Linked DNA regions of Lepisosteus oculatus. The protein of the gene in region 2 purifies or fractionates together with the protein of the main gene of each other region. This does not show direct contact. Links are inferred from orthologs where the notes say so. Each region holds a gene or a part of one and is shown on either strand. Other genes may lie near its edges.

What was found.
Region 1: the proteins of dkc1 (region 2) and naf1 purify together in Homo sapiens (co-immunoprecipitation; 7 studies listed by BioGRID and IntAct, counting the BioPlex papers as one, with this or other methods). This does not show direct contact. The link is inferred for Lepisosteus oculatus from reciprocal best matches to the Homo sapiens genes DKC1 and NAF1.

What each region holds. Positions count from the first base shown.
Region 1 is NC_090696.1:22,506,604-22,523,111, reverse strand, and holds the start of naf1 (H/ACA ribonucleoprotein complex non-core subunit NAF1), read right to left. Parts: upstream 7,838-16,508; 5' UTR 7,784-7,837; intron 6,595-7,783; 5' UTR 6,585-6,594; coding exon 5,965-6,584; intron 5,040-5,964; coding exon 4,880-5,039; intron 1-4,879. UniProt on the Homo sapiens protein: RNA-binding protein required for the maturation of box H/ACA snoRNPs complex and ribosome biogenesis.
Region 2 is NC_090703.1:36,223,479-36,240,884, reverse strand, and holds the start of dkc1 (H/ACA ribonucleoprotein complex subunit DKC1), read left to right. Parts: upstream 1-11,019; 5' UTR 11,020-11,054; coding exon 11,055-11,070; intron 11,071-12,184; coding exon 12,185-12,246; intron 12,247-12,382; coding exon 12,383-12,469; intron 12,470-12,534; exon of another isoform or gene 12,535-12,741; intron 12,742-13,251; coding exon 13,252-13,343; intron 13,344-13,637; exon of another isoform or gene 13,638-13,717; intron 13,718-13,849; coding exon 13,850-14,034; intron 14,035-14,151; coding exon 14,152-14,216; intron 14,217-14,939; exon of another isoform or gene 14,940-15,165; intron 15,166-15,237; coding exon 15,238-15,364; intron 15,365-15,653; exon of another isoform or gene 15,654-15,732; intron 15,733-16,075; coding exon 16,076-16,206; intron 16,207-16,463; exon of another isoform or gene 16,464-16,602; intron 16,603-16,781; coding exon 16,782-16,925; intron 16,926-17,406. Other genes in the region: tmlhe (trimethyllysine dioxygenase, mitochondrial), read left to right, coding at 386-505, 2,027-2,263, 2,832-2,970, 3,489-3,620.

The DNA.
Region 1 (16,508 bases), on a different chromosome or scaffold from region 2:
TAATTAATGTAACAGATTGAAAATATTTTTTTCTCTCTAAACAGTTGCAACATACAGCCGAAGTATCAATACTGTAATACAGTTGACACCTAACATCTGCTTAATTACTGAAAAAGAAATATCACTCTATGCATGCATGTATAGTTTTATAGAAACGTACAGGGATTTTTTTGGATATTGATTAAATGTTTTGGCATTATTATGTTAGTGTTGATTTGTCGCAAGTAATGAAATGATTTAACCAGGTGAATGTCAAGCCTGGTAAAAAAAAAAAAAATCAAGAAAAACACAGAGAGGAACTAATATGCCCTGCGTTTCTACAGAACAAGGCCTTTGTGTTACTGGTATGTTGAAAACTAGTACACTGTTCTTGGCTGTAGCCCCAGATGGCAAGCAACAGTCTATCAAGGACAGGCCAAAATCTGAGAAACCATGAGTCAATACACCTCACCAACATAATTTTATACTCCATCTTTGTGATTGTTTTCCAGTTCCACTGCATCAGAATGCCATATGTCATATCCATATCTTTGCAGTAAATGGAAAAAAGTCCATGTTAACAGTTCTATTTGAATAAGGACTTATCAACCTATCTTTAACGGCTATTTTGGGTAAGTACTTTTGGAAAAACAAAAAACAGAACTAAAATAGTACCAAATATGACACATTTGCTTGCGAGCTTCCTTATGCTTATATGTTAAACAGCTTAACACCAAGAACAGCAAAAGCAGAACTGATGCATCCACAATGATATAGTGTTGTTCAAATAACTAGTCTGTGGAAGTAAAAGTTGTTTGATTGACAATTATGGTGACAGAAGAAAACAGCTAATACTTTAAAACTCAAGGCAGCAGCTTCCAGGGCATCACTATTATGGGCAGTGAAGTCCACATACCAGTCACAAAAACTTAAAATCAGTGTCAGCGACATCAAAACCACAAGAAAAAAAATAATGGCGGAGTGGTTGATGACGACACTATGCCCAGAAACACTGTATGTAAGCTATGCATCAAGAATTCTGAGTTAACAGCTGTATGTTGTCTCCCTAGAGCTAAGGTTGCTGATGATGTTTATAGAACAGACAGGTTCCTAACAAAAGCAGGCGACAATACTTCATCGTCTAAGTTGAGATAAATGACACTGGCTTAAACACCACACTTCACATTTGAAACAGTTCCATTCCATTCCTAAATGAGGTAAGCACATAATGTCTTCTCATAATGATCCATGGAGAACTAAAAAAAAATATTTAAAGTAGACTGAAGGGGGGACGAATCCAAAGAACGACTCACAAATTAAAAGTTTACTTCTAATTGTTAACCTAACTGCAAACACTATTAAAAACATTATACATGAGATAGGAACTACGACATTAGCAAGTAATAAAGATGTAACTGGAATCACCACAACAGTTTCTGGAGAGTGCTGGTGATGAATATAACATTAGTGGATACACAGTGTTCTGGAAAAGGAGGATGGATAGAAGAGGGGGAAGTGCACTCTACTGTATATCAAAGAAACGTGCATAGCAATAACCTAGTTGAGTCAAGATTTCTCAGAATCTATATAGGTCAAACTTAAAAACATGCAAAAGGCATACTCTTAGGAGTTTGTTACCAAATTCAAATATTAATTATTAGGAATATGTGCCAAAAAAGAAGTGGCTTTCATGAAAGATTTTAAATTTGTTAAAAAGACTGGTAAAAAATGACACCAGACTGGACTGGAAGCACCAGAAATGGTTCAAATGGTTAATGACGGCTTTTTTACTCAGCTTGTCAGAGAACCTACAAGAGAAAATGTCCGTATTGATCTAGTCTTTTCTGAAACTTAACATTGTAGGTAAGAGAATTATTAAGAAACTGTAATCATATTATGCAATGCTTTGAAGTGCATTATATAAACATCACAGATTGACTGCAAAAGAAAGGCTTGACATTCCAATAAACCAGACTAGGAATGATACAGTTTATGAGTATAAAAAACCACACTGCATGCAGAAGGGCAAGATAAGTCCTATATGCATTAAAGAATAAATTAATACAGGGGCCTCAAATCCTGCCCCTGAAAAGCTCATACCCGTCAGGTTTTATATTACGTTAGATAGAAATCATCAATTTTTAAAACCTAATTCAATTTATAAATAAGGATTTAAAAAGGTGTTTATTAATTAAGCAAGATAGATATAATTGAAATCTGAAATAAATCAGAACAACCTTCATTCATTCAATAGACCAGAGTTCTATTAATATTGTAACAGCTATAGTTGACTATGGCAGCCATATCACTCTGCAACTCAAAACTGGCAACCGACTGAAGTTAAGCAGGTGTGAGCCTGGTCAGTACCTGGATAGGAGACGTCCTGGGAAAAACTAAGGATGCTCCTGGAAACTGTGTTCGTGGGGCCAGCAGGGGGCGCTCACGCTGTGGTCTATGTGGGTCCTAATTCCCCAGTATAGTGATGGGGACACTATAAACCATGGACAAGTGCTTTTCAAACTTAACAGAAGGATCTTTTAGAATAGAAAACCAGTGAGGGTCTGGAAAAAAGTAACCAGCCAATAGATGCAGATTGGGAAGTTTTTTTTTTTTAAATCAAGTATACCCTTGATTATTTCAAGATATAGATTTATAACATCCTCGTATAAATTAATTTCTATTTACCAAATGTGCTAGATGGGAAGAATAGATTTCACTCATTTGAAATGTCTTAGATGTTCATAAAATGAATCAATTCATGAACCCAAAGCAAAAATACTAAGTTTAAAGTATTATAATTATAACCATCACACCATAATGTGTAATATTTAATGTAAATTGTACTTGCCTTATAATGAAGTTTTATTAATAAATTAATGACGAAAGAATAATTTTTTCTTCAAAAGTCAAACTTCAGGAACAGCCATTTGAGCTCTTCTTTAGGACAAGCTACCAGAAAAGCTGGATAACAACATACTCCGGTCCCTATGACTCAAAATCTGAAAGGCCCAAAAGCTGCCTGTATCCTGTCCTGCTAGCACCTTTCCCTTGGCATTCTTCCCTTCCTGTTCCTGCCTCCTGCCTGTCTTCTCTCAATTGGCCATTTCTCACTTCTCCTCAGCAAACGCCAACAGCTGCCCAAACCACCAAGTCCCAGCTTGGAGATTCCCTTCTTGCCTCAGCGAGGCGGCTGTTAGCTACAGCAAGTTGGATAGAGATTTAATGTTGGATCATTTTGATCAATAAATGAATGAAAAAGTATATCATTTTGTGTGTTATCTGTTTTATTGAGTTCTCTATTTTTATGACTTAGATGAAGATCCAATAACATTTTAGGTTAAATTTATACAGAAATTCAGAAAATTCTAAAGAGTTCGCAAACTTTCTAGCACCACTGTATATGAGTCAAGTATTTCTACCTAATGATACACATGTCAATAACAAAAAACTTCTAAACAGAAATAACTACCTCCCAAGGTAATTCTACCACTAAGCTAACTTTCAACATGTGAAACAAACAACTGCTAAGGCAGATCATAATCTTGCTTACTGATTTGATTTACATAAATTAATTATAAAAACTTTTCATAATTAAAAGCCTGGTGCAGTCTGAACAAACTCTGCTGCTATGCAGAAAGAGCAAGAGATTTCAAAAGGCATGCATGGCACACTTGTGTTATCAAAAGAGCACAAGGAAAGTTTTAACTACAGACTTTAATACCTAAGGCAAAATATAAGCCTTTCTTTTATTTTACAGAAACATTGTCTACCATCATTAAAAAAAAAACATGCTGCATGTGTTAAAAATGATATTGTGTTCAAAAAAACTGTTGCATTGCTCAAAATTTATGCATGCCTGCTAAATATCTTGCCAACATCTAATACATACATTGCAATACTTATTAACTCTTTAAGGATAAAGCAGTTCTAGAAAATGGATGGAGAGGCTCTCATAACTACAATGACAATAGACCTTCTAGGTTAGCAGATGATTAGATTTCCCGTGAAGTAATGTACTAGCTGTCATTGATTAATGTTTGGAACTTTTTTTTAACTCACAAAATATGCATTAAAGATGATAATAGATATAAAACATGACCTTTTCACTGACTGTTTTAAAATTACTGGAGGAATGTTTTACTCTGTATGCTTTAGAAAGCATTGCCTGCCTCAAAGCTACTGCCATTTTAAGCATTAGAACAACTTAATTTGAATAATGACATATTTTCACTGGAACACCGTGAACAAAACCCAAATGCTTGCAGTGTCGTGAGTATGTACACCTCTATGCCACTAGTGGTTCTTTTTTGTTTCCAATTATAATCTTATGTTCACTACAAAACACTATATGATTGTAATGGTAATATGCAACATGGCGCAGTAGGACTAAAGTGGTATAAATTCAAGTGAGATTATAATAATGCAGTGATTTCTGAAAACTAAGCACAACAATACTATATATGTATGGAGTACTGCAATCATGAAGAAGCAAAATAACCTCAAAATAACTGTTTTTGCTATTGTTTGAACAGTGGTATTGTACCCCAAAACTTTAAACCTCTTTGTCAAAACATTCTACAAGACCCAATGAAAACAAATGTCACAGTAATCTAATTATCCATAAAACTGATACAATGCAGTGGTACTCCTTGGTATTCTAGATATCTTTCATGCTCTTGGGTCAATGATAAAAGACATGTTGCTTGCAGTTTAGGAGAAAAAAATCATTTTTTCTTTACCTTTTTTTAAGGTACAGCCTAAAAAGTGAAATACACAAGACACTGTAGCTATCAAGAGAAGTAACAAATAACAAAGCTCCATAACTTTTTTACCAGAGCCTACTCAAGGTTCTTAGAGGTTACACTGTTTATTAAAAGGCAAAAATATTTGCATAACATACCTCAATGAGAATTTCATCTTTAGTTTTAACAGGATGTGCTTTTTTCCCATTACCAAAAGCCATGCACTCATCATCATCATCATCAGCTTCACCTAGTGTAGCAGGCAGAAGCGCAGAAGACGAAGAGGAGGAGGACGAGGAAGAAGAGGAATCTGAATCACTACAAAATAAAAACATGAAATTAAAACAAAAATGTACTGAATTCTTAAAAACTGCAGAAACTTAGTTCTGCAACAAATAATCCATAAATCACAAAATGAAGAATGATAACATCTGTATGTATCATTCAGAGAAAACAGGTTACAATGGAAAATTCTGAAACGGCAAACAACATTCCCTACATGAGAAAGGATTCTATTTAAAAACAATACACAATATCTAATAATTTGATGTTTAATAACGGCAATATGCTATTTTTGCTGTAAACTCAAGTCAAACTCTGAATAAACGGGGTAGTGAAAATCTACTGAGGGCGATATTTTTCATCTTGCCACAATAAGGCAAAGAAACATCTTGGCTGAAGAGGTCAGCAACATATAATTATTGGATTTGGGAAGAAAGAACACATATAGCAGTAAATAGTAAATTGCTTAGCTTCTGAAATCTGATAACATCTAACTAGCAAGTGGTATTGCTATGTTAATCTATAAATAGGTTCACAGCATTTTTCCGGTCAAAAAAAGTTTTAGGTGGACATAAAATGTTTCAGTTCAGGTGGGTAGCTGCGTCAGCATGCGTAGGCTGCAAAGGAACAAGTAATAGGTTTATTCCATACAGAAAAAAAGGAGAAAGAAACCATGTTTCGGCCATGGAGCCTTCTTCAGGTGTGAGAAAGACAAGGCAGTAAGCAAAGGTAATGTAGCAGAAGAACAAAGGCTGGGAGAGAGGAGGAGCGAGTGGCAGGAGCAGGGGACAGAAAGAGAGGCCAATCAAGAGGTGTGAAGTCAGGATAGTGTAGAATAAGTCAGAATAGTAAAATGTTTCATACATCTACTACAACATACAAATAGGGTGATCTGCATTTTCACTTTGTAAATATTTTCTGAAATGTTTAAAATCTTTCAACAAGGCTGTTCAGTACGTACCTGTCGGAAGAGGAGTCCTCAGATGAGCTGCTGTCGTCACTTTCTTCACTCGGGTTAGTCTCCTTGTCATCACTCCTTAATATCATGCAAACCTGAGGAAATGTAACATTCTTCCCAGCCGGCAGGCTCTCTGCTTCAGCAGCTTCAGGAGTGTTCATAAAATTAAGTGTCTCCATTCTTGATGACACTGTAATCTCCATGTCTTCACTCTGAGATGTGTGATCAGCCACTTGATTCATTTCAAGTATTCCAGTTCCGGTATTTTTAACTCCTGCTCCACCTGCATCAAATTCTGGCCCGTCTCTTTGTATATCAGAATCATGTTTCTCTGCTTTCTCAGAACATTCAGGCACTGCTACCACATTGCCATTTACTTCATTTGTACCAGGTGTGGGAGACTTGGTGCCAACCATATGCCTATTTGAGTACTGATCTTCAATGCCAGTGCTTAATGGATTTGTCAGGGACTCTGTCTCAACTTTTGTAGAGTCTGTTGTCAGAGAATCCAGTAACTCAGGAGCTAAAGCACTGCTCTGGTCTTTCTGTGTTTCTACAGTATTTACCACAGTATTGGCATCTACCAAATGCTCCAGAGCTGTTTCACAATGCTCTTGTTCCATGGTGTACTGTCTATATGAAAAAAAAAAGAGAAAAACATGAATACTTTTCATGAAAACTTAACTATTTATCCTATTTTGAGAAAGTTAAATGTGTAATGGCAAAATACACACAATAAAAATACAAACAGACAAGTTCCATCCACCCATTTGTTAACCACTTTGACCAATGTAGGGAAGATGGAGAGTGTCCTAGCAAGTGTGTCAGGGTACACTCTGGATGGAATGCCAGTCCATCACAGAGCACACAATTTCCCTCACAGGATCAATAAAGTATCTATCACACACACCAGGAGCAATTTTTCCAGAAGCCAATTAAACTCCCAGCATGTCTTTGGACTGTGGAAGGAACCCTGAGCACCCTGGGAAAACCCACATGAACACTTTGAGAACATACAAACTTCATGTAGATGGGACAATTTCATGAAACCACAGATCCAGAATTTAACCCAGGGCTCCAGTGGTGGGAGGCAGCAATGCTAATCACTGTGCCACCATTCCACCACTGGCATGCTCCAATGTCTGAAAAACATTTCAGTACCACAAACTGTAGCAGTATTGTTAAGAAAAATACAATATTTTAAATTTTCAACATGTGAAATCGAAGAAGTCTGGAAAACAAGACAGATTTATTTACTTTATTTCTGTGATCAATATCTACATAGAATATTCTCACTCATTTTTCTCTTTATCTATTGCTTACAATTCTGTCCTGCTCTAACAACTATATTTTTCTTCATTCATCTTTGTGGTGGTATGATATTGCATGTCGTAGTGTATGAGTTTGGGACATGTGAAAACACACTTTTCTGATATCCGTTTCATGCAATTCGTTGCAAATTTGCACTGTTAAGAACGCTGAAACAATAATTTACAAGATGCTACAACTGATGTTCACACAATTGACGTTACAGTGGCTGTTTCAGATACATGCTGAACCGCCGCGACCCTTATATAGACAATAAAAATGAAAATCAATTGATGCACTGATGTTAAAAACCAAAAGGCAGCAGATTTTCAGCAAGCTCGTTGATCACAGCATTTACCGCAAGTTTGAACTACATTGTTTCGAAAAGAAATAGCGAATAGCATAATTTATGACAAGCAAAAATAGATATTATAAGAGTCACTTTTATGGATGTTTACGCTATTTTCTAAAACTTTAAGCGATATTACTTTGCGTATACTAATCATGTGCTTACCTTTCTGATATTGTATAGTGCAACACGTTGTTTGATCTCAAACGAGTTCTTCCGGCTGCCTATTTCTACGCAGGGCAGAAAGAACATACGTCATCAAATCACGCCGGTGATAAAGCTGCTGATAGTGTGTTGCATGGGGAAAAAAATAAAAAAGTGTGTTGCATTGCTCATAAGGAAACGATGTTTGTGAAAATACTTTCTGTTTAAAGAAAATGTATCTTTATTCTAGGAATTAATAACTATAGCCATTGCTTGTCTTGTTCTGCGTTTCGCTTTGTAAAAAGCAAGTGCTTAATACAACAGCACTCATAATATTACTGTAGCATGTATAGAAGGTCAAATACTGTACTATTACTAGGAAATTATTTAAAAATGCACATTTTAATGTGTTGCAAAAAAGACCTGAACATCACACACAATGTTTTTATTAGTAGAAGCTTAGAAGACACTCCTAGCCAGGGCGACTTACAATACATTGTTACTTTTATAATCCAGTACATTAAGTAACAATTTACTATGTGGAAACCAACAACAATGAAGTTGAAGGTATCTTGGCAACACGTATCCACATGGAACATAAATAAGTAAAGAAAATATTAGGGTTATTTTTAGTCACACCCCTGTAGTAAGTATTTTGTAATCCTCTTCTGGAAGGTATTGTAACAACCGCGGAGTTCGGTACGGAATGGAGCTGTCTATCTTGACAGTGATTCCAGGACCTACAGTATAGATGCAAAACAATCCCATAACATTATAGGCCCCCACACAATATCACAACATACTGTAAAACTGATGAGTATTTCCAAAAAGATCAATTTTCATTTAATCTGACCACAAGACATTGTTTCATTTGTCATTCAAATAATGTTTGGGAAGTTTGAGTCACCTCTGCCAGAACAGACTTCTTCTTGAAACCCAGCAATGAATGCTAAATTTGAGAGATTTTGGTTGTTTGTACCCTGAAGATGCCAGTGTGTACTGAAGATTTACAACTATTGCCTCTTGAAACAGCCCATGGTGACAAGATATACTCGCAGATCTGCCACTATACAGTACCAGCAGCCTCAATTTTCTGTGAATGAGCACTAGAGTAGAATGTGGTAGATTCAGGATTTGGGGAGTTTTTTACAACAATCCTCCATCTTATGGAGGTCAATGTGCATTTGTCTACCACCTTCAAAGAGCCCTCTGACTACATGCTATATCCACATGTTTTCCATATACAGTAATCGTTCCTTTTACAACCCATGGAAACAGGATACCTTCAAAGTCCTTTTCTACAGTTCCAAAGGTTCCTATTACAATACCCAAAAGTAGGATGTTACTGTAGATTTGTTTCTGTTGAATTTTAAACAAAATTGAGAGGTAATAAATGTGACCCTTCTGTTTTTTGGAATACAATTAAAAATGTATTATGATTGTGCAGTAATCAGCACTGTTGCCTTGCACCGCTGGAGCCCTGGGTTCAGTTCTGGTTCTGGGGTGCTATCTGCATGGAGTTTGTAAGTTATCCCCGTGTGTGACCCTGAATTGGATGAAGCAGTCAGAAAATGGATGGATAAGGTGATGAGGTCCTATAAATGAACAATATAAGGAGGGCTCATTAATTTTAAGTCCGCAAACAATGGCCAGTGTCATAAGAGTGGTGCATTCATCTTTTCTTGTTCCTGAGCTCCCCATTGATCAAAGATCTTCCTTGCACAGACATTCATAATACTGTATACTGTGCAGTTCAGAGGTAACACATGCATTTGTGAGACACAAGTAACAAGGATTCAGACTGAGAGGGAGCTTCCAGAAAAGGGGTTAAAATCAACAATGCATCATAACACTGGGCCATAGAGGCAGTTGGGTAATCAGCCCTGAGCCATTAGCTCTGCCCAGGCCCACGACAAAAACTGAAATTATGTGGACTCACACACAACACACAGAGACAGAAAAAACTGGAGGAACGCAGTTTGCACCATAGCACCCAGGAGATATCAAGGACACCAGGAACTCTACACAGAGCAGTAGAGGTAGGTTCCAACATCATCTTCCTCCCCCCCACTCAAAGCTAAACTTGCAGCATGGAGAGAGTGGTGCATGGGATACCACATTCTTTAGGATGGCCAGAACTGAAGGGGATGTCTAAAACCACAGAGCGACCACAGACTTTCTTCATTGTGATAGGAGGTAAGCAGGTCATCAACTGGAGTTTTAGAGATTGGAGATGCTGGACTGTATGTACTCACACGGCACACAGAGACAGCACTCCATAGAACAGAATGTGGAGTACATACAGTACATACATAAAAAAGCATTATAGGTACTCCACACCCTGGAATATGGAGATACAGCTTACAAATTGCTTCAAAACCTCTTCCTGTAAAAGTCAAAGTCTGATAACATTCTGCTATTTGATATTTATGCTCCTTTATCTCACTCATCACCACAATGTTTAACTACTTGGCCATCTCTTTAAAGTAGACAAATGATTCATACCACGTCCTGTTTAATTTCCAGAACATGAAGTTGTAAAGCACTCTCCTATCCAAACAATTTATGGCATCTCACAGTTTGTATTGTAGTTTGTTTATCAGAACGAACTTCCCAAGACTCTTACCTCCTTTGGTGTAATGAATTTCAATTTGCTGATGCCAACGACTAAAAAATCTGCAAAGTAAGCTGAAAGTATCCAGCTTTATATCTGAGGGCATTTTCACTTACATTTATTGACATATTATGCTTTGTTATTAATGCTTTATTGATCAGTCAGTGCATTGTATTCTGTGTAACAGTGGTGAAAGCCTCTTGATCAGATTTTCATTGTAAATGAGAATTTGTAAATGTTGGGTACATACCTTTAGGTGATAATTATTGTTGTTTCATTTGATCATTTGAATCAATTGATTTGAGCACAATGAAGCCAACGTATTAACTTCAGAACCAGGGATGGGTAGCTTGCTTCTGAGCCTGTTTTTGTCTAAATTAGTGCCACTGCTGTTTTTATTCTTAAGCACATTTACCCTATGTTTCTACTAATTTATTCTGGTCCTTCTGTCAATGATGATCTTGAAAAAGTCCATCATGTTGGTTTTGTGGGTGCCCTAGAGAATTTTAAGTAATTAGACCCAGTCCTCTCATGGTTTTCTCTGGTGACGGCTAAAGAGATCCGGTTATTTTAATCTCTTCTTCAATTATTTTGAGTAAATGAAAGGAAAAATTTCAGAAAATATTAGAACATGATAAATATTTGTGTTGAACACACTGCGCTGTCAGAAGATATCCTCAGGGGTAATCATTTTGAATTCCTCGTGCCTTCAGCAGAGGTTATTAAAAAAAGTTACAGTGCACAGCTGCTGTGTAGGTCAGCAAATATTACAGATTATTAAATAACCTGTATGTTACCACCTTTATTATACATATACATGTATATATATACACTAATCCATTATGTAACCAGATAAATACTCATTTATGGTGACTACTTGGCTGAAAGGACTCAAACCACTGTAATTACTGATTCTGTGGATAATACACAACATCTCATCCTTATTTATTCTCAGATACTATAAAAATTAAAAATTGTATTTAACATTGTTTTTATTTTACATAAACAACATCTAGATTTAAGAAAATCTTAGTTGTATTCCTTGATAGAATATACTACAGGTGTATATTTGTGTAATGTTAAAACTAGGAGTATTGCAGAAAGGAAGGATTGCAGCAGAAGTGGATCAGTAATATTGTGTTTTAAACTGTTCAACTGTGTGTTTTTTGTGTTTTATATACTGTACACAGTACATCAAAACAACCAAAACATTTCATATACAGTATTAATGCCTTTACAATGTTAGTATGTTGGTGGTAAAAAATCACAAGCCTTTAAGGAATATACTGTACATATTTGATATGGTTAAGTAGTTATATATATATTATGCTTAGATATAGTATATATAAGGAACAAGTAAAAGTTTATTCCATGCCAAAAAGAGAAGAAAAGAAACAAAGCATTTTGGCTGTGGAGCCTTCTTCGAATGTGACACTTGTTCCTTTGCAAGGATCTGTGCTTGTGACCGGAAGGTTGCTGGTTCAAGTCCTGCAGCTGGCAGAGGACTCCTACTCTGTTGAGCCCCTGAGCAAGGCCCTTAACCCCAACTGCTCCAGGGGTGCTGTACAATAGCTGACCCTGTGCTCTGACCCCAAGCTTCTCTCCCTGTCTGTGTCTCATGGAGAGCAAACTAGGGTATGCAGAAAGACAAATTCTTAATGCAAGAAATTGTATAGGGCTAATAAAGCAACATTATTATTATAGTATACATTTGTTTTCTATTTTTTAAGAGAGTCCAATATTGACTGGTGTTTTGAATATAAGAGAGAGATTCCTCCTTCCCACACACATCCAGACACCAGTGTGTCTGGGATCTAGATCAGTGCGTTGGTGTTTCTACAGCTTGTCCATTCAGTTAAGGAATTCCTGAGACCACATTCACCCAAGACTGCAAATTTTACATTTCTAGAACCCTTTAGAAAAGAGCAGAAAATCTTATGTTCAAACCTTATGTTAGGCTTTAAAAAGAGACAACAAAGAAGAGCTAGGAGGAGAATAAATAAATAAATCCAAGAAGCAGGACTGAGCATGAAGCTGCAGTAAATGAGCTGTAGCAGTCTAGCTAACATAGCAGGGCTTCTGTTTGATGATCCAAAAATAGCCAAGTATTTAAGAACTAGAGGGAGGGGTATTTTTATATTTGTGAAACTATTTGGATTTCTTTTTGAAATATACCAGGGAGAATTAGTTTATCTTGTTTAACGGGAATACATTTTTTCAAGACCCAAGGGTGTTTCTTGATTCATATCCATTAACTATAGATGGCAGGCACACCGGAGAAGAATCATCTAGTTCACGAACACAGCTGTATTTACCCATATGTTTATATGTTCACCTTTTCAGTCATCATAGTGCTGGTGTCAGGACACACTTATTAACTTATTTTACCTGAATATTATTGGGGCCCTGGGTTCAGATCCTGGAGTGCTATCTGCATGGAGTTGGTACTGTATGTTCTCCGTGTGTTCAAGTGGGATTCCTCCGGGTGCTCCAGTTTCCTCCCAGCAGTCCAAAGATATGCTGGTAGTTTAATTGACTTCTGGGGAAATTGGCCCTGTTGTGAGTGTGTGTACTGTATGTCTGTGTGAGCCCTGTAATAGACTGGGGCCCCGTCAAGGGTGGTCCTGTTTCTTGCAAGGATCAGATCCTGCTCCCCGGTGATCCTGTATTGGATAAAACAGTTATAAAATGGATGGCTGGGTCTGAGGTAATATTTTCAACTTATCAGCTTCCTATACTGCACCCAGGGTGTTAGGGTTGAGATAGTGGCTTCCAGCACAGTAAGCTGTATTCACAGTGGCAATGTGTTGAGATTGTGGTTGCAGCGCAGGGTCATGTTGAGAACAGCACAACAGATATACCTATTAGGGTGACAGATTATAAGGAAAGGTGCTTCTGCCTTGTCCTTTGTTGCATTGTCTTGGTAGGTTGCAAATGGGTTTTGATTCCTGCCCTGCACACGTGCTGTATAAAGTGAAATTGGCACACAATTCTAATAATATAATTTTCAACAACAATAAGAATAATAATGCAATTTTATTAATGGGAACTGTAAAACAGCACATATATAATACAACAGAAGCAAAGTGGGATAAAAGCACAGCAAATCTATTCAAATTGAATAAAAATAAATAATGCATTAAAGGACTTAGCAAAAACATGTCTCAAAACACTTGGACATTGTGTGTCTATGACTCATTTGGTGCTGCCTGGTTTTCAGCAGAATATGAAAATCTCAAAATCAGAGCCTTAATCAAGTTTTAAATCTTTAAAATAATCTGTAGTTTACTATTTGGATCAGGATAACTTTGTAGTCCTCTCTTATTTTTACTGGGAGCCATATAGACAACAGGGGTTATTCTAGATGATGATTCAGAGTACTCCAAAATCTGGACATACAATCTGTTTGTATCTGAAAACAGTTGGTCTTAACTCTGGACTTGAGGGAGTGCTGTGTCTTCTGGCTATTATTTCAACCAACTGAATTACTGGAGCTTATTAATGCATTGCATTGGCTTGAATTGCTCAGACTTTTTTGTGAATTCAACACTTTTAGTATGCAAAACTAGCCTGTCACAACTAAGTAATTTAATTTTTTTCATTTTTTCTGACTAAAAAGCTCTTAATAGGCGACCAGTTATGATGAACAAATACAGTACATGTACTGTATGCAATTAGGATTTAAACTGCCCTGGGCAGTTTCATATTAACACAGGTTACAGTTAGGTTTAAGACTACAGGAACAAGATCAAATTTCAGGCAGTCCTTGATTTGGCTGTTAGCAAATATACAGAGCAGAGAAGATGTGCAGCTGTGAAGAAATAAGATTTAAGAAACAAACAGCGGGTTTCATTTTACATTTACATTTTACTAACTCAGTTACATAGGCAGCATCAACAGCAATAAAAGAAGATAAACTCAAACCTGTGAAGGTAGGAGAGTGGTGGTTGTCATGACTGCAGGAGATGAGGTCAGCAGCTGGTTATTAATGCAATGTATTTTGTTGTGAAATAATTGTATGAATGTGTTACATTGTTCAATAAAGGAAAAATAGAGTTATTAGATGAATCAAGCATTTTATTGCTAAGTAAAGAATAAATGAAAGGATTACGACAAAACCTCTCAATGTGGCTGGAGTAGAAGGACTATTTGGCTGCCTTAAGGACCTCTCCATTAGCTTGTATACACAGAAAGTGGATGCAGCAAATTACAACAGGGGACAAAACTCTTTATTTCACATTTTTAAACCTTACCATGAGCTTAAGGATTTGAAACTCTATCCAGCAAAACAGCATTTTCCAAAAAATAAATATTTTAATTGCAATAAAAAATAACAATGCTATGAGCTTAGTGGCACTTAAAATTATACATGATTTTTTCAAAATGCCCTTGTCTTCTAAACAGAGCAACATGGACCTTTATTATGTGGGGTAGTAGATACATATTATTGATCAACCAATATTAATAAATAAAAGTCCAATGAAGATGCAAATGAGTCCTTGACACCTTAAAATCTTAATCAAAGGAACAGCATGAGCAAATAACTGTGATCTTGCCTGACATACAGTAAAAATAATTAAGAATTGTTTGCATTTGCTTGTGATTTTCACCTCATTGAGTCCACAAATATTTCACATACAGTGTCTTGCAAAATTATTCAGATTTTTGCACAGCTTGACTATTTTATAGCTTGTAGTTGACACTTGAAATGACATATGAAGCAGCAATTAATATTTGACTCCACACATTCAAAGCTAAAGAAAAGAAAGAAGGAAATGGATAATATTAAAGGAAAATGTCCCTTTGGCCCTTTGGTTCAACAATATCCCAGTCACTCCACAAAGGGTACTTGTATGGAACTGATAAAAAATAAACTCAATTCCTGCATGGTGTTTGAAACTAAGAACCTAAGTAAAACTGCAGTGTGGAAAAAACGTTTTAAAAGGTTTTACTGTAAGTATGAACAATAACAATAGCATATTTGGTCAGACATTGAAAGCTGAGAGATCACTCTTCATACCTAAACAAATTAATCTTAAGTTAGTGACAGATTGAGAAGTTCCTATTTCTTTTGTGTTGGTCATTTACCACTGTGGAACTAGGATTTGAAAATACTTGACGAAAATGTTTATGGAATATATACATATGCATGTGCAATGCACAAAAAGGAATGTTTAAATAACAGAATCATTCTTTCATTATACAATGAATGGCCAAATATTTGTTTTCCTTTTCACCCATGAATGTCCATAAATATTCTAGGCTAAGTAAAATTATGAACAATTATTATTAATTAAAGTAAATAATACTGGGTCATTTATTTATCCATTTTTATCCATCAGCCTTTTGGAGGTTTTGAACAGAACTGCTCTTTAATTAAAATATGAAAAAGCAATTAATAATAGATGGATTTGTCCCATTGCAATTGAAATGATAACAGTCATGGAAAAAGACATCTGATTCAGGTGTTAGTAGGGTAATTTAAGGTTGTTTTAAGCAAAGTCATTCATCTAATTGCCCAACTTTTTATAAACGCTACAATTGGAGTTTGTTTTAACAAATTATAATAGATCACAGGGGCATTTCAAAATGAGCTTATCATAAAAATGAGAATAGCCTATGACATTATCACAGCTATTATACAATTGGTGCCTTACTGGAATTGTGGTTTTAAAAACTTAAGTTGAGGGTTTTCAGACTTCTTTATACAGTTCAAGGAAAAAATATTAAAAATAACTGAGAAGATTGTAATGGTGCTTAATAGTAGTGCACTGTGTCAGTGGAAGAGAACCTAGGCAAGATGAACCATGCAAATTAACATTCTACTTTCCAAGCACTGAACTGCCTATTTGACGATAACTAGTAGGAAAGGGTTTGCACTGAAGAGATAAGAAATTTGCAGGAAGTGTCTCTTCTGCCTCTTCAACACAGACCTTTGAGAAAGAACTGACAGTTCATTCCAATTTACTGAAAGCTTAAAAATATTTATTTTCATTAAATTATGTTTTCAAAGTTATTTTATTTTCTTTTTAACTGGCTACCCACTGAACAATAAATGAATAAATCAAATACATTCCATTAGGGATAGTGATATATTATATATATTCATAGAATGTATTATTATATATGTTG
Region 2 (17,406 bases):
GTCACACATAGCATTCCAGTAAGGTTTATTGATCAGTGTTGGGGTAGCAATACAACCTTGCTTTGATCCTGTCTTACCTTCAAAGTGGCTTGTGATAGGCTTTTTACATTCTTTAGTGCAAAGAAAAATGTAACACTAATTAGGGACTAAGTATGCATCAAAAATACCTGCACTAACAATCATTTAAAACACAAAAGGAAAACTTGAACTAGGGCTGGAAGAAATAAAACAAATTAACAAAATGGTCTGTTTTTAACCCATGTTTGAATATCCTTGTTTTATTATTGGCTTGATATGCCAGATGTTCATTGTTTTAGGAAAGATGTCTATGTTGTACTGTTGTACAAGCCAAGGCCGCTGGTCCTGACACTTTTCATTTTTTTAGAGAGACCATGTACGGTAGAGTGTGGAACTTCACCTCTGATTTTTCCAGAGGGGACACTGCTTATACTAAGCTTGCCTTGGATCGTCACACAGATACTTCTTATTTCCAAGAACCATGTGGGTATGTCCATAACATTTTTTGTTACTTCACAGCTGCAAGTGTACTTTATATGCAAGGAATAGAATCCTCTCTCCAGAAATTTGCATTCTATCCATTTCTGTCTGATAGTTTTCCTAACTATATAAATTAGTTCGCGGAATGTTATTCCATTAAACCTCTATATGGATGTGCTATGTAAGAAATATAACAGAAAAATGTTATATGCTCCAGTATGTACTGTACTCTTTTTTTCATTTCACTAACTAATACAACAGAGTATTGCTGCAAATCAACCCGTTTGCTGCTGTTGTGAATTTTTTCTGTTTTCACTTTTGCCATTCAAATGACTGTTTGTTACACCATGCCTCTGGAAGAATCGTCATTCCACCTCACATTCCAGCACAGTTCCCAATTAGCCCTTTTCCCTAGCCTATTTAATGCTACCTCACACTCTTCCCGCTGCTCAGTATTAGGGTTTTCCTGGCTAGAGCTACTCCCATTCTCATTGATATTTATTGCTTGGTTTTTGGCTTCCTGACCCTGGTTACGTCTCCTGATTTTGGTTTTGGTACTTTTGGTCTTGTTCTGGTTTTGACTCTCGGCTTCCTCACGGTTTACGGTTCCGCTTCTTGTTATTTGTACTTTTGCACCGGCTAGTTTACCTTTGGCTTTCGGACATCGGATTGTTCTTTTGACTACGCCTTTTGGAGTTTGTCCTGGTTTTCTGCATAGGGCCCTCACTACTAATTCCTAACACTGTTATCCTGTTCATTTGCAGAGACTCATGTTTCCTGTTCTTCTGAGATTGAAAGGGTTTTATTCATCAGAGGAGTTTCTAATGAAGTGCTCTCTGTCTTCATCGGATGCTAATCTCTGCCCTCTAATTAAGTCAAGGACTTAGTTTCTGTTAATTTATCCTTTTCAAACATAACAGCCTGATTATACGTGACATCCTAGAGAGCAAGCCAAAATTATTTAAAGAGCATTGTTAAATTTGGTTATTTTTAAATTTTAATTCTATGTGGGCGAGCTATAGGGGGCTAAAGGAGAAATTTATTTCTAGTCAAAAAGGGCATGTAAAGCATGGCCACAAATACTTGGCTTTTTTCTTTGTACTGGATCTTTCGAAATGCTAGTGGCCTTTACTTTGACTCTTGCTTATTTATTGTTCAGTCTTTGCTTTCTATTCCGTTTCCCACACAGCAAGCCAACTGTGTACTGTATGTGTCACATTGGAATGCATCACTCCAAAGGATTTTTAAAAGACATTTCGCCCTTTTCCGGTCCAAAGTTTAAAAAATGGAATACACAGATTTGATTATTTTGTTGTCATAGAAACAAATCAAAAAAATTTTTTTGGGACTGTGCAAAACTGCCAATGCCCTAAATAATAATAATAATAATAATAATAATAATAATAATAATAATAATACTGGCATGAAAAACATTGATATGTACCTGCATGACCTGCACAGAGTTGCAGTTCACACAAATGTGGGGGAGACTAATTTTAAGAAATGTAACCATTTTTGTTGGTTGTAGGATCCAGGTGTTTCATTGTCTAAGACACGAAGGGACTGGTGGGAGGACTTTGCTTGTGGATGGCTTTCATGCAGCAGATAAGGTTTTTCAGGAGACTCCAGACAACTTTGACCTGCTCACTAAAGTGCCCATCAAACACGAATATATTGAGAACGTGGGAGAGTATCACAACCATATGATTGGAATTGGGCCAGTGCTCAATGTCTACCCATGGAACAATGAGGTCTACATGATAAGGTAAAGATAGTCACTTGCAGGTTTGGAAGCTGTTGTACAGAACCTTCAGAAGGTTAAGAGGACGATTTGCATTTGAAATGCACATTGTCTGTCTTTCCTAAAAGCTTTTCTCTTTCTTGCCAAATATAGTAATCCTTTCTAGATCACATGGGTAGCCTAGTTTTTACATGACCTTAAACGCAGGAAAGGCAAAAAGTATCTTCAGAAATTACATGTTTTGTACAGTGACTGCAGTGTCACGAGTGAATGGACATCTTTGTGTTCCTTAACAGCATGTTAGATTAGGAGGTTAAAAGTGCATTATACACAAATAACTCATTCACTTTGAAGCACATTTAACAGTTAAACAAGGTGATTATCAGGAGCCAGTAGTTTTCATAACTGAAAATTAAAGAAACTCATCAACTTATACAAAGTGCCTACACTAATGGTATTAATGGGTAGTTTAGTTTCTTTTACCAAAGGAAAGAAAATTGAGTTGAGGGTGGTGTTTTTCCATGTTCTAGATTTTGGTGTCTGTTTCAAATCATTAAAATAGAAGACTTAAATTTTTTAAATTCTCTTACAGGTACAATAACTACGACCGGGCAGTAATCAACACTGTTCCTCATGATGTGGTACAGCGCTGGTATGTAGCACACCGAGCTCTCACCTCAGAGCTGAGAAAGCCTGAAAATGAACTCTGGGTCAAGCTCAAGCCAGGAAAGGTACGGTTTTAGTGTTTGTCTAGTTTATGTGTTGTCTAGTCTTTATGTCAGTGAAGTCCTAGATCTCTTTAGAGGAAGCCTGGAAAGCTTAAAGTTTGTTTGAAAGACCTTCACTGTAATTGATTTGTGGGAGGGGCTGAGCCATCTTCGGATGTTTTACAAAAACCCTAAGTACTGTAGGTCCTTTGAGTGGTTGTTTATTGTTGGGGATTACATTTTTAATTTATGTCCATCAGTTTTGTCTATAAAGCCCATGCTTGCTTCACATATTTTCCCACAAACAGCACATCAGTCTTGTGTATAGTTCTTCACACAAATAAATAAAAAAACCTTCCATTCTTCCAGCTCTTTGTTCTAGATGGCAATGAACTTCATAGGAGTTTATTTTACTTTGTAAATAAAAGATTACAGCTGAATTCCCTTTACAGTTTTATCAAAAACAGATTCCTTGCATAGTTAATACTGGCAGTATTTAAATTCCTTTATTATGTCTGGTTATTTTTTCTTCTGTTTTGTAGGTTCTTTTCATTGATAATTGGAGAGTTCTTCACGGTAGAGAATCATTCACAGGCCTGCGTCAACTGTGTGGCTGTTACCTCACCAGGGATGATGTTCTCAATACAGCAAGATCACTGGGACTCAAAGCCTAAGTCCCCCCATCAAAATTTCCAAATGACAGCACTTACAGTACGAGCTTTAACAAACCAAAGCACTCCCTTATCTTCACACTCACATCCTAGAGAGTCGCGGCTTCTGCTGGCTTTTGTAATGCCAGAGTGCTCAGGTTTTGAATTAGTTTAACTGTTGAGTAATTGGATACATATAGTTTTTCTCTCCAGGTCTGCAAATGTTTAAATGCACCGTACAGTACCTGGAACAAATTGCATGTTTTAATCAATCACCTCAAGAAAGTAATACATACAAATGTCTTTCTGCCTGAGAAAATAATACATTTCCATTTAAAACTAAATCTAGAGACATCTCTGCACTGTGGGGACTGACCTAAGATCCCTGCCCTAATCAAAAACTAGGCTATACATCTCAGCACTTTAACTGATAAGAAATATCCATCAAAATATCACTTGAAACAACACAGAATTTCAAATTTTTATAAGTCTCATTGTGTAATGATGAAAGCACTTGAATGTCCAGAGGTCAGGTAGCTACATGAAGAACTCCTTTATCGCTTGCTTGCAGTAGAATTTTCTAGATTTGGGTAAGTGTATCTGGAAAGCAATATTTAAAAAAGAGAAAAAAAAAGATATCCTAAGTGTCTGCTCTGAGACTAGACTGGTCTTTTTTATTTTTGCTCAATAAAATTGATTTTTTTAATTAACATTTTAATGAATGAGACCTACGGTATATGAAACTTATTTTATTTTGTTTTTTTCATTGTGCCTTACATTGTATTAAAAATTGTGAACCGTCATGTAAAACATGCTAGACACTTCTGTCCAATACAGCATTTTAAGATTCATGATTACTGGAAAGAAGTGAAAGAAGAAATACTTTGTTCTTTTTTTGAAAATATTTTTCATCTGTGATATGAAAGCTGTCTTCATCAGGCAGAGTAATCTGGAATAAAGTATTTCTGAGAATTTTTAAAACACTAAAAAAAGCCAATGCTGTTTTGACCTTTTTGCATTACAAAATCACAGATTTTCCTCCTACGTACGTCACTGGGTCATGATTTCATGTATTTCTTAAGTGTATGCTTCATATTCTAAATAAATCACAAACAGAATGCCTGAAAAATTCTAACATTTCTTCCAGAATCCATGAATTCAGATTGCACTGTGGTAGCCATTGCAGTCTAGCAGATGAAAGCTTGTTCTCTTTCAAAGATCGAAAACAGTCATCACCAATGGGGATGTGCCATGTCACTAAAATTTGCTGGTCTAGTGTGCTGTATCAATCCAGAATGTCCCTGCAACATCACTCTGACCTGTCTGTTTTTCCTCTACAATCCCAGTGAAATTGTTTAATCTGGGCCATGGTTTGGATTCTGCAGATTACTGTTTACTTTCTGGAGCACTGTAGCCTTATTAATATTGGGTTCTGTTTTTGTTTTTTGAACTCATACGCCTTCTGTGTGGAGTCGGCATGCTTTCCCCATGTCGATATGGGTTCTACTTTCCTCCTAACTCTCTGAGACATGCCGGCAAATATAATTGGTATTTCTAAATTGTCCTTGTTTGCAAGTGACCCTGTGAAAGGCGGATGTCCTGTCCAAGGTGTGGTCCTGCCTTGTGCCTTTTGCTTCCAGATTAGACTTTGGGTAGGTGAGAATGAGCAGCTGTCTGGTAATTGGAGTTGGATTTGCTGGACTAAGAACAAGAGCACGATTCTTTCCATTCTCCAGGTTGATAATTACCAATCTTTCTTTTGTTCTCGTATTTGCTTTCCTTTTCTCTATAACAGGCTTTCTACGTCAGACTTGAGCATACTTCACCCAAGAGCTTTTTCTTGTAAATATGAGCTGGATGCTGCGTTGTAGCTGTAGTACTCTACTCTTCTTCCACTCAACTATTGTGTTGAATCTGTCAAGTTGACCCTTGATGACTCCTCTTGACTTTGACATAGATGGTTTTGTGACTACTGCATGCACCCCTTGACTCAAGAAGTGCTATTCTTCAAACCCTGCTTACTGACACTCCCTTTGCACTCACCTTAACCCTGCTGTCTTTTTCACCTGAATAACACTGACTGTCTTTGACAGTGCCAAGAATTATTTTCAACTAAGGGCTAATGGGAGTATCTTGTCCAAGCTCCCTTCTTCCAAACTTGCCTTTGGTTTGGCATTAATTCAGTCACGTGATGCACACGTTTTTATGCATCCATTGTCTAGTGATTTTGTTAAAGAAATAAGCAAAACAACAAGACATGAGGAGGGGAAGAATCTATGAAGCTCCTTAAGCTTTCAGGTTTTTGTTTTTGCCCTCTGTGAAATTTCATCTTAATTGACATTGAAGCCCTTGTATTTATGTTGTTTTTTTTTAGCTGCTTGCTCACTACAGTATGCTCCTGAGGCACAATGCACCAGTTTACAGTGCTTTCAGGATGACACCTAACCTGGCTTCTGAGTCTGGTTTTTTCATAAATTTGTGTTGTATGATACGGGTTCCTGCCAACTTAGGTATGACCAACGTCTGTGCTTCCTGTCCCCAAGAGACATACAGGACGTTTTCACCAGAGCACAAGCCATTTCTGGTGTTCTCCTTGATAGAACATTCCTGGATGAGAACTGCATGACTCTTATGTGGGTTTCTCCATCTACAGTATGTTACCAGGTTTTATAATCTCAATACCATAGATGCTTTGACCTCTATGAACCCCTCTGTCCCTGCTTCTTTTTGTCCCTGACATTAACTATTTAATTATTACACTTATATCCTTGGCTGACGTCCTTTCTTGAAAAGGAATTATATTTTTTTTTACATTCCATATTCTCGAGATCACACTCTACTGGCCTCTGTTTCCTTCTAAAAATGAAATTGCAACATCCTGGCTTCTGGAGAAAGAAGGATGACCAAGAGTGACTTGCTCCAGTACAATTGAAGTGATTTTGGCATATTGTCTCAGCAAAACTCGGTGAAATGGCACTTTCAAGTCTGTGAAGAATCAAGGAATCTTGTGTTTTTCTGTATATACAGTATTACATTTTAATCATCTGAAATGCAATCTCAGTTGCTTTTAAGAGCTATTGGAATAACTCGTTTAAAGGTTGTATTCTGTCTCTTATTTCTTATCAACTGTGTTAAAGCTCAAATTTTAAAATAAAAAGCCACATTAAACATTTACGAATTTTCCACTTTTTAAAAAAAACTTTTCTCTCTTTTACGTTGAAATGGTATATATCAGACAGTTTTAATGGGGAAAATTAACTTGCATGATTAAACTGAATTTAAAATTGATAACTGTTGATATTAAAGTCCAGAGAATAGAACCTTATTAAAGCCTTTTCTTATATTTAATTTTTCATCCAAGTGTCTTTCACCATGCTTTTTTAGTTGCATCTTCTAAGATGACCTTTTACAAATATAACTATATACAGTAGCACATAGCATTCTGTGCAACAAAATTCTCAAAGCCATTCTAAATGAGAGGGTATAACACATTGAGATACAGTACCACTGGCCTTTAAAATTATTCTGTAAAGTAATTGTTTGTTTCATATCCAGCCAGTGTAAACGGTCTATTCCAATTCTTTTTATAGTTCAATAGCAAGAAGTATTGTTAGTAAAATTGCTAATTTTGTTTTATATGCCTGGACTTGGGAAGCTATTGAGTAGAGTAAATTCTGATAACCACATCTTTCATTAAACAAAATAGTGTTTTACGTATAAAAACCTCTAGCTGATTAGCAGTACCATACATTCAGTTGCCAGTCTGAAGTGTGAGAAATGGGGAACATTATTAACCATAAATTTAAGAGGCTATTTGAATCCAGTGATCACTAGGTCAAAAAAGAATAATATTAGTATTTCATTGTTTCTGAATTCTTAATAAGAAATATTGATTTAGAAAATCCCTGTATCAGTGGATACCTTGTCTTGATGTTTATTTAAAATGATGTTTTCTCATCAGTGCTTTTATAACAATAATGATGACTAGATAGGGCTCTCCTGTTTTTTTAGTTGGTCTTCTAGGACTTTATAGAGTCTAGTATGTTTCAAAAATTGAAAAGTTAAGTCACAAAGCTATTGCAATGGCAAGGCCTTTACAACTGATTTTAAAAAGGCCACTGAACATGACAGCTGTTTCTTATGTGGTCTTTGTTATTTGATTTTGGTTTCATATGTATATGTATATAAAATGCTTTCAATGTGCATGTTTATAATAAGATAAAATGGTGACAATACTAATACACAACGATATACCAAGATTAGAAGATTACGTCTGGTTGTTGGAATTGCCACTTTTATCTTCTCTTCTTTGCATTTTATTTATGATGGAATACAACATCTTTTCATACAGTAAGTCTCCAAATTAAGCCCAAATTGAAAAAAAAGTTACTTTTAAGTACCCTTTCCAAGTGATCTTGTCGTGGACTGGGATCAGTTTATTGCTGAAGCAATAGTAAAAATAGGCCCCTCACTTCAAAGTGTATATGGAATAAGTGGGTACTGCTGTACCATATTAGATATAATTTACCTGAATATACAGTACTATATTATTTATTTTATGTTAAACTTTTTGCCTTAAAATCTGAACCACACTGGCTTAATACACCAGAGCCTATCATGGTTCCTTTGGTGTTAAGCAGACATTATGCCACTCTCCCCTCAGGACAGGACTCTGGTTCATCACTGGGGTTACCACCCAATAACTGATGGTCCCCGATGGACTGCAGCAAGTGGGGTAAAGTCTGCAGAAGGGAATTGCACCCACAACCCAAAGTGAGTCCAGAGACTTACCCACTACGCTAAAACTCCCCCAAACAGCACATGAACATAGAAAATGTGGACAGCTTTTCTTGTACCGAACTATATCTATATAACTGGGGCTATTCAGATATAGCCAAAGGGAGTTAACCCTAAGGGCAAAATATAGCGTAGACAACAAAAGGCAGCTGGTAAAACCAGAGAAAACTCTTATGAATGAGACCCTGCATACTCTAGACACGAGATCAAATACTTTGGCTGGATGCATAAGTCCTGATCACTCTATATTGTATATTGTAATTATATTAAACTTTACATTGATTGCCCTAGAGTTTTGTTAATCTGGTCTAAATCCTGCTTGTTGGTGGGCAGAACTAAACAGCCTTGGAGTGGCCGTGGGCTGCTACCTCTTTCAGTACTAAGTGTGAAGTGAGTGGCCCAACTCCTGAGGTCACTGGAGGCTAAATTGCCAAGTATATAGCAAAAGTTTGCACCTTTTCACTGTGTGTTAACTACCAAAATGCATGACACATGAAGACAAAAAAAAAAGATATGAAGAATCATCAAAAATCCCTACAATTTTGATAGTAGAATATAATTATTTTTAACACCTTTCTTCCAAATAATTATTTGGTAATAAACCTACTCAATTTGGAATTGGCAATTGTGTGTTTTCATGTCTCGGCTCACAGGTGCATATCTTGTACCAACACATAGTGACAACAAGGAAGTGCAGACAGATGTGTCTGGCCTCCCCACCTTTGAGTCATTGATCTGTTAATACATCTCAGGTCACGCAGCTCGCCACAGGAGGCACTTCTCCAATTGAAGGAGAGGCAGTTCCTTTGCCAGTCCTGGTGCAGGCTTGCAGTAATTGCTGTTTTGTTGGGATCTAAAAGCGCCCTTGCTAACTAATGCCAACCCTACCCTGTGCTGTGCTTAGTCAATTATGTGTCAACCACTTGAGAAATCCCATCACAGTCACAGTGACCTAACCCGGGCTTGGAACACACAGTGCCAGTGCCAGTCCTCAAGCAAGCATCTTCACATATTGAGCAACTCTGGAGCCCACATATAATTATTGCTTAATACATGTTATAGTGTTGTTCTTCTTAATACTGGAAACAAAGAATGAAGCCCTGGCGAAGAAACCAGCCACTTAACCTAGCCCAAGCTAATAATAACTGGCAGAAATCAGCTTCATTATTCTGAAGATAGAACTTGTTTTGTGTTTGCGTTGTAAAAAGGGCACCCTGACACCATCTGTTATGCAACATCTTCCCTTAAATACAATAGAAATAGAAAGTTGCGCAATTAAAAGAAAATGCATTAATTCAATAGTACATTTTAAGATGTGATTTTGAGAGACGGTGCGAGAGGTGGTTTTCTTTTTGGGACATAAAATAAATTTTTAGGTCTGGCTCTAGCCAGAGGAAAGTGCTCTTGTCATTACTGCCAGTAACCCCATCAATAGAGCTCTTTGAAAGGCTACATCCCTGTGCGTACTTTTTGTAGGGAATCATGTTTTTTTAAGGCTTATTACGTACCTCTATTCAATCACCCCTTTTGCCAATAGATTCTTTATTTTCTTTCTAATTCATATTCTGCCTATATCCCAAGGGGACACTATCAGCCTTTGTCTAAACACCCCGAGTCCTAGTCTTACTACTACTTTCATCACAATTTATTGCAAAAACCTAAAAGCAAATTAAGAAACTAAGATGTTGGTAATACATTTGGTTGAAGGGTTGGGAAATACATTTTTTAACAGTGAAAAGATATTAATACAACAGCATGGCTGCTTCATCACAATAGGCTCTACAAGGAGTCTGTTTATGATACAATCATGGGATTAGTGAAAAACCTGATGTACTGAATCTAATTTCTAATTACAAACAATAATCCAGATATTATTCATGAATCCTCCCTTTCATGTATAATTTCATTTCATGGAGTCAAACTAAATTTAGGAGATGGAAAAATCCTGTTTAGAAAGGGTCCTCTCAATATGGAGCTCCTGTTTAAACATGACAGAAAACGAATGTCAATAACTTTAGATTAATAAAAAGAATGTCAATAACTTTAGATTAATAAATAAAATGATACATCACATCACTTTCAAAAGCCACTTATCTAATTCAGGGACATGATGAATTAAAGCCAATCCCAGGAAGCATTGGGCGAAATGTGGGATGCACCCTGGATACCAGTCCATCACAGGTTTCACACAGACACCAAAAACGCACATTGTCATACCAGGGTCTATTTGCAGAAGCCAATGAATTTACCATTATGTCTTTGGACTGTGGGGCAAAAGCAGAGCACCTACAGGAAACCCATACAAATACTGCGGAACATGCAGAGTCCTTGCAAGCAGCAAACCAAAAATTGATCCCAGGATCTCAGCATCGCAATGCAGCAATATTAACCATTGTTCTAATTTACAACAATAATAATATAAATAACTCAAGTCGATACGATTAATATGTCCTTACACTAGAACTAATCCATCCTTAAAGTAACCTTCACACTAGCTCGCACTAGACAGAGGAGCTGAACTAATAACTCCCATATTTGTTTAGGCAATAGAAATGACATCATGTAGGACAGACTCTCGCGGTGTTTCACGGGTCTAAGACTCGGGAAAGGACATGCGCAGTGAACACCACACGTGTTCCTTTCCACATTGAGAGAGTGAAGATGGCGGACGTAGAGGGTAGGCATGGAAAATAATTTTGGGTTTTTCTTTATTTTTATATGCAATTCGAGGGGAAATAGTAGTAGTCAATTGTACTGAGATACATAGGACAAAGTAATTCAAGCTCTTTGAGACCGATTTAAGACTGGATCTTTTGTAGAGAAAATAAATCTCACCTCGTGTGTGCTGCATGGGGCAAGTGTGCAACTAGACGATAAATGATCAACTTGCCTGTATTTTTACATCTTAAGTTTGATCAATCCGGCTCTTACAACGTGTATATCACTATTTAAGGCGTCTTAATTTTAATAATTGCGATCTTGAATCTTAATATGTAGGGTACAAACGCATTAAATGCTGTGTTTTTGAATATAAACTTTACAGTAGGAAGAGATACATGAATTTCACTGTTGCAGAGGATGTACCTAGCTTTTTTGCATTCGATATTTTTTTATAATCCACAATGTAGTCACTTTCATCGATGAAGTAGCAAGCTTTTGTAATTTTGTAATTTTGTTTTTGAAGTTAAAAGCGAAAGTTAACATTTGCTTTAAGATTGCTGAATGCTGCACGATATTACTAAAAACGATTATTCTATACGTTTTAATTCAGTGAGTCAATTGTGCTTATGGTATTTTTTTTATCCATTTAAAAATTAATGCCTTGCACACCGCCAAATGTGGTCTTTTTCTAGTCACCACGTGTTTTCAGAGTCTGCCACGTGGTTGTATTGAACAGTTTTCCCTAAACCAATGCAGCCCGCATGTCTATTATTAATCAAATAAAGATACATTATGTGCGAATTATGATCATGAATGCTCTGAAGAGTTGCTAAATTAGAATATTTTAGGGACTTGACTTTTCCTAATTGTCATTGATGATGGAAACATGATGATTTTCTTATTCCAAGAATTTATTTTGTTTAATAATTATATGTAGAAAGCCTGTTGTTTTTTTCCAGAAGAGTTTACAGATGTAAGAGTTATTATAGGAAAGTAACCTTAATTCATATGATTATTCATATCAAGAGACGTGATGTGCTAATGTTACAGCAACAGTCCATGATTATTTACTGAGAATGATTAATTTCCACGGTTTGAACTCTTGGGTTTCTTCTTTTCTCTTTTCTCAGTTTCCTCAGCTAAGAAGCACAAGAAGAAGAAGGAGAAAAAAGTTGCCGATGATGAAGTTGGGGTAGGTTCCATGTAACATGGCTTTTTTGGAATGTTAGCAACTTTTTTGGGTGCAGTAAACTTTGAAGTTTTTATAATTGCTTACATTGTAATTTAAAATTTTCATAACATCAAATGGATTTTCCCCCCCGCTTTAGGAACTTCAAGAGATGGGTGATTTCCTCATCAAACCGGAGTCCAAAATTCCAACACTTGATACCTCTCAGTGGCCTTTATTGTTGAAGGTAACTAGATAATTATTATACGTTCCTGTCATCCTTCTAGGAAGCTCCCATGTATAGTGTTGTATGTGAGATGATGAACTTGTTTATCCATTCTCTGAGCACTGCTGGCCTCTGTCTCTGCAACACTCTCGGCCTGTTCTAGGCCTAAGTGTCTCGGCTCCCAGACTCGGCTTGGCCATTCCAGTGTTCTGCTGGGGGCGGAGCAGGAGTCTGGAGAGCTGGAGCAAGAGGCAGAACCAGCCTCTGCAGAGACGAGTAAACAGTCTGATCGCACAAGTTCGATGGGGAGGGGTTAAGTAGCCTGTTGCACAAAGAACATCCAATGATCAGTACTTGCCTCACATGACAATATAGCTCACTTTGTTGGGATATGCACAATGTAAGACATCTGCTTCTCAATCCAAAAAGTAACAGATTTATACAGAATTATTTCCCTTATCACTGTACCTGAATGAAGGTGCAGATCACAGTTCTACAAATACACAGTGTTGTATATGCGGTGCTGGAGGGTTCCAGTAAGGCAGCACAGCACATTAATGTAAATACCATTTCACCTGGCCTTGTGCCTTTTTGCTCATTAAAGATTTTTTTCAGGAAGTGTACAGTAAGCAATATATAAAAACCTTGACTTTCTCCTCTCTTCCATTCCATTAAGTATTAAATGAAGAATTGGGTGACACTTTGAAAAGTAACACTTTATGGATGGATGGTGTAGGTGTGACAAAGGTGGTATGCTAAATACATTTGTGTAAAATCTCCTTTTTCATTTGTTTTTTTTGTAGAACTTTGATAAGCTGAACATAAGGACAGCACATTATACACCTCTCCCAAGTGGCTCAAATCCCTTGAAGAGAAATATTCAGGATTATGTCAGGTACAATTTTTTTTTTGCTGTATCTTTAGGGATCTTGGTTTTCTAATTGAAACTAATGCTGGCAAAGTCTTAACTTGAAAAATGCACTTAAACTCTTCGTCCTGTGTGAAATGTGAAACAGGTTGTCTGTTTAACATTGAAAGATTTATTAATCTGTTTTAGGTATTTTAGTGCTTACAGCAGGAAGATATTACCTTACACCAGACAAATTTACATTGTTAGAATTTTCTACTTTAAGAGTTGTCTAAGATCTGAGAGAATGCTTTAATTTCATAGATTGATGACATCCAAGAAGCCAAATGATGTTTTTATGTAGATTGCATTAGCACTCTGTGCAAAGATGACTGTCTATCTATCACCCATGACTGATGGCTTCAGGGAGAAATGTTAAGGCAACCATTACAACTCCTTTAGTAGGCCTTGTGTTATGCATTTGTTTTTTCTGAGTTAATACTGAGTGATCTCCTATTCTTAGAAGTTATACTGAAATATTTTAAAATCTGTAGGACCGGTTTTATTAACTTGGATAAACCCGCCAACCCATCCTCTCACGAAGTGGTGGCGTGGATCCGTCGGATTCTTCGTGTGGAGAAAACAGGCCACAGTGGCACTCTGGACCCTAAAGTCACAGGCTGTCTCATAGTGTGTGTAGACAGAGCCACGCGTCTGGTGAAGTCCCAGCAGAGCGCTGGTGAGTGGGTATTTCTTGTCTTCTTTCAGTCTCTGAAAATCGTGAATTATAGTCACTTGTAAGTGACACAGGAAAAAAAGCAGCTTCTCCTGACTACTCTTTTGCTATTGCTTTCAGGCAAAGAGTATGTGGGAATTGTTCGGCTGCACAATGCTATTGAGAATGAGCTTCAGCTTTCCAGGGTAAGTTTTATTTTAAAATTGGTCTTTAATTTAGAAAAATGGTATAGTAATTCCACATTTATGTGAACCAGTTTAAGACAGGGTTTACGTTTTATCATTAAACATAAAAATTGACCTAATTTCTCACTTACAGCATTAAGTCATTTTATTCTTTATTTGATTCCTTAGCAAATCAGTGGAAAGTAGCTACATATGTTAAATATAGTTTATGTTCAGTATGGCTATTGCTTGTCTGTTTGAAGAAAAAATGTCAAAGTACAAACTGTCCACAAGCTTAATAAATCAACCAAAGCCTTTTAGAAATCAGTTTAAAGCAGTTTTTAAACGTGTTTTTCACAAAATAAGTAAAAATTTCAGTATTGGAGGTCAAATCATTTAAGTTTGCTTGCAAAGAAGTTAATGTACATTTAAGCTATGTCACTTCAGCATCTGCATTTTCACATAAGATGACAAGGGTGGCTCACCTGTTTTTTCCTGTCTCACTATTCCACAATTAGCTTGCTTTTTTATTATGAGAGGAAGTCATCTACTTTATGGGGTTAGACACTTTGACTTTTATGAAAGTGGGTTTATGGGACTTTTTTTTTGACTGAAATGTTTTTTGCTGTTACAATGCTTAAAGCCTCAGTTTTGAGTAAGCACACAGGAAAAATCTTGCATTTGTTGATGCTCAATCTTCTGGATGAGCTGTGTTGACGTGCTCTTCCTGCGGCAGCAATGTATGTGAGATGATGAACTTGTTTATCCATTCTCTGAGCACTGCTGGCCCCTGTCTCTGCAGCACTCACGACCTGTTCTAGGCCTGAGTGTCACGGCTCCCAGACTCGGCTCGGCCATTCCAGTGTTCTGCTGGGGGTGGAGCAGGGGTCTGGAGAGCTGGAGCAGGACTGGAGGCTGTAGCAAGAGGCAGAACCAGCCTCTGCAGAGACGAGTCAAACAGTCTGATCACGTACAAGCTTCGAATTGGCTTCCGGTTAAGTCGTTTGTCTCAGGTGTGTCAAGTCTCTCTCCTCTTTCTCAGGCACTGGAAACCTTAACGGGGGCTTTGTTCCAGCGGCCTCCTCTGATTGCAGCTGTGAAGAGACAGTTGAGAGTGAGAACCATTTATGAAAGCAAACTCATAGAGTACGATCCAGAGCGAAGACTGGGTAAGGAAAAGAGAGATCTATTACTTTACTGGATTTTCTGTTTTCTTCAGAGCACAGCAAAGCTGCAAATCCTCCATTGCAAAATAATGTAAAGATTATTAAGAATCTTGCTAATATTATTAGTCATGATGAGGAACGTCAGTGCCAAGAGTACAAAGGGGTATTTACTTATAGGTTACGATAAGAATTAAGCTTGAGTGAATTTTCTGCTTTCCTTAAATACTCGGAAGAAAACTTAAATTTAGGATGGGCATTAGTATCCTAGTTAATGATTAGCTCCAAACAAGAGGCCAAATGATGTGTTGTATAGATTGCATTAGCACTTTGTGCAAAGATGACTATTGATCTATCACCCATGACTGATGGCTTCTGGAACAGTGGTTAAGAGGGGTGTTTTTGAACTTGGATTATTCATTGTAATTGTTTAGTTACTAAATTAATCTGGCAGGCCTGATATAAAAGGCGTACCAGTGATTTGTTTTTAAAATTTTTGGAATTAGGTAAATTGGTGCTTCATTGTTCTGAACACTCAACTTTTAAATGCTAAATTTAAAAACAAATTTAAGGCCAGGTCTCTGATGATTAAATGGAACTGCTTTTGGACTTTTCATGAAAAAATGAACGCAGACCATATTTGCAGTGATTTACCAGTTCATGTATTAATGGTGGGTAGTATTCACTCCAGTCATGTTTCTAACTGGTATTCTGCAGGGATATTCTGGGTCAGCTGTGAGGCAGGTACCTACATCCGGACCCTGTGTGTTCACCTTGGCCTCTTGCTGGGAGTTGGGGGACAGATGCAGGAGCTTCGGCGAGTGCGGTCTGGGGTCCTGGGAGAGCGGGTAAAAAAACTGTTTTCTCCGCTTCCCTCTTTCCAACCAGAGGCTTGTACTGAGGTCAAGGGTCTCCAGTATTGGTCTTGTTGGTCTGAAATAAAATCTTTTTATAAAACCGGCTTTTGACAGGATAAACCAGCTGATGACTGGCTTTATTGGACCTATTTAACAGTTATTCTCAGGCTCTGCTTTTTCAAAGAAACACCAGGTTTAGACCTATAAAGGACCAGGATTGGACCATTCTGGCTTAAGTAATAAATGTTGTCCAAAGTGGTTGAGTTCAGTGCTGGGCTTTTTCCCTGGCTCTGGTAATTGAGCTTTGGTACATGGAATGGCATGGAGGAGGATATGAGTGGAATGGTTAAATTGTTTTTCCATTTCATTGAATCCTTGCCTACATTCATTTTGTTTTTCATTGTTTTGAATCTGAGTCACTATGGATAAAAGCAAAATTTCAAAGCTGTACTTTGTTACACGGTACTCTTTTGACACCTTTCAAAGATGAGAGCCTTACTGTTTGAAATCATAATGACAATGTTATTACACAATAGGAAAACTTATTTATTTTATCCTTTTTTCAGGACAACTTGGTTACCATGCACGATGTGTTGGATGCCCAGTGGCAGTATGACCATAACAAGGATGAAACCTACCTGAGGAGAGTCATCTATCCACTAGAGAAGCTCCTTGTGTCACACAAACGTCTTGTTATGAAGGACAGTGCGGTATGGCTATACCTTTTTTTATTAAATCGGCCTTAGAGCTAATGATGTTTAAAGAACAAATGCTGCGAAGCTAAAATGGAACTGTTTTTAGTTATTCAGTATGAATCATTTTGTCCTCTTTCATCTTATAAATGCTTTACTTACTGATCGAAGTAAGCATTGTCCCCGACTGTAAACAATTTCAGCTGTCGAGTTAGTTGTTAAATGTATAAATACTTGTCTTCTATCTTTTGAAGAAGGCAAACCACACTAGATTTAAGAATTCCTGAAATCAAAAGCATTTGCTATCATTTGAACATTCAAGTTAATGCATTTAAGGTCATCTTAGAGTGTGGGTGATTCTGGTCTATAGCCCAGCCCTTCCAGAATGGTTTGTGTTTCTTTGATCTTAGCTAAAATGTAAAACAAACTCAGTGGTAGGGAACACAAATCCATTCTAAACTGAAGATGAAAGGATGGCATTGCTCGTAGATGATCATTC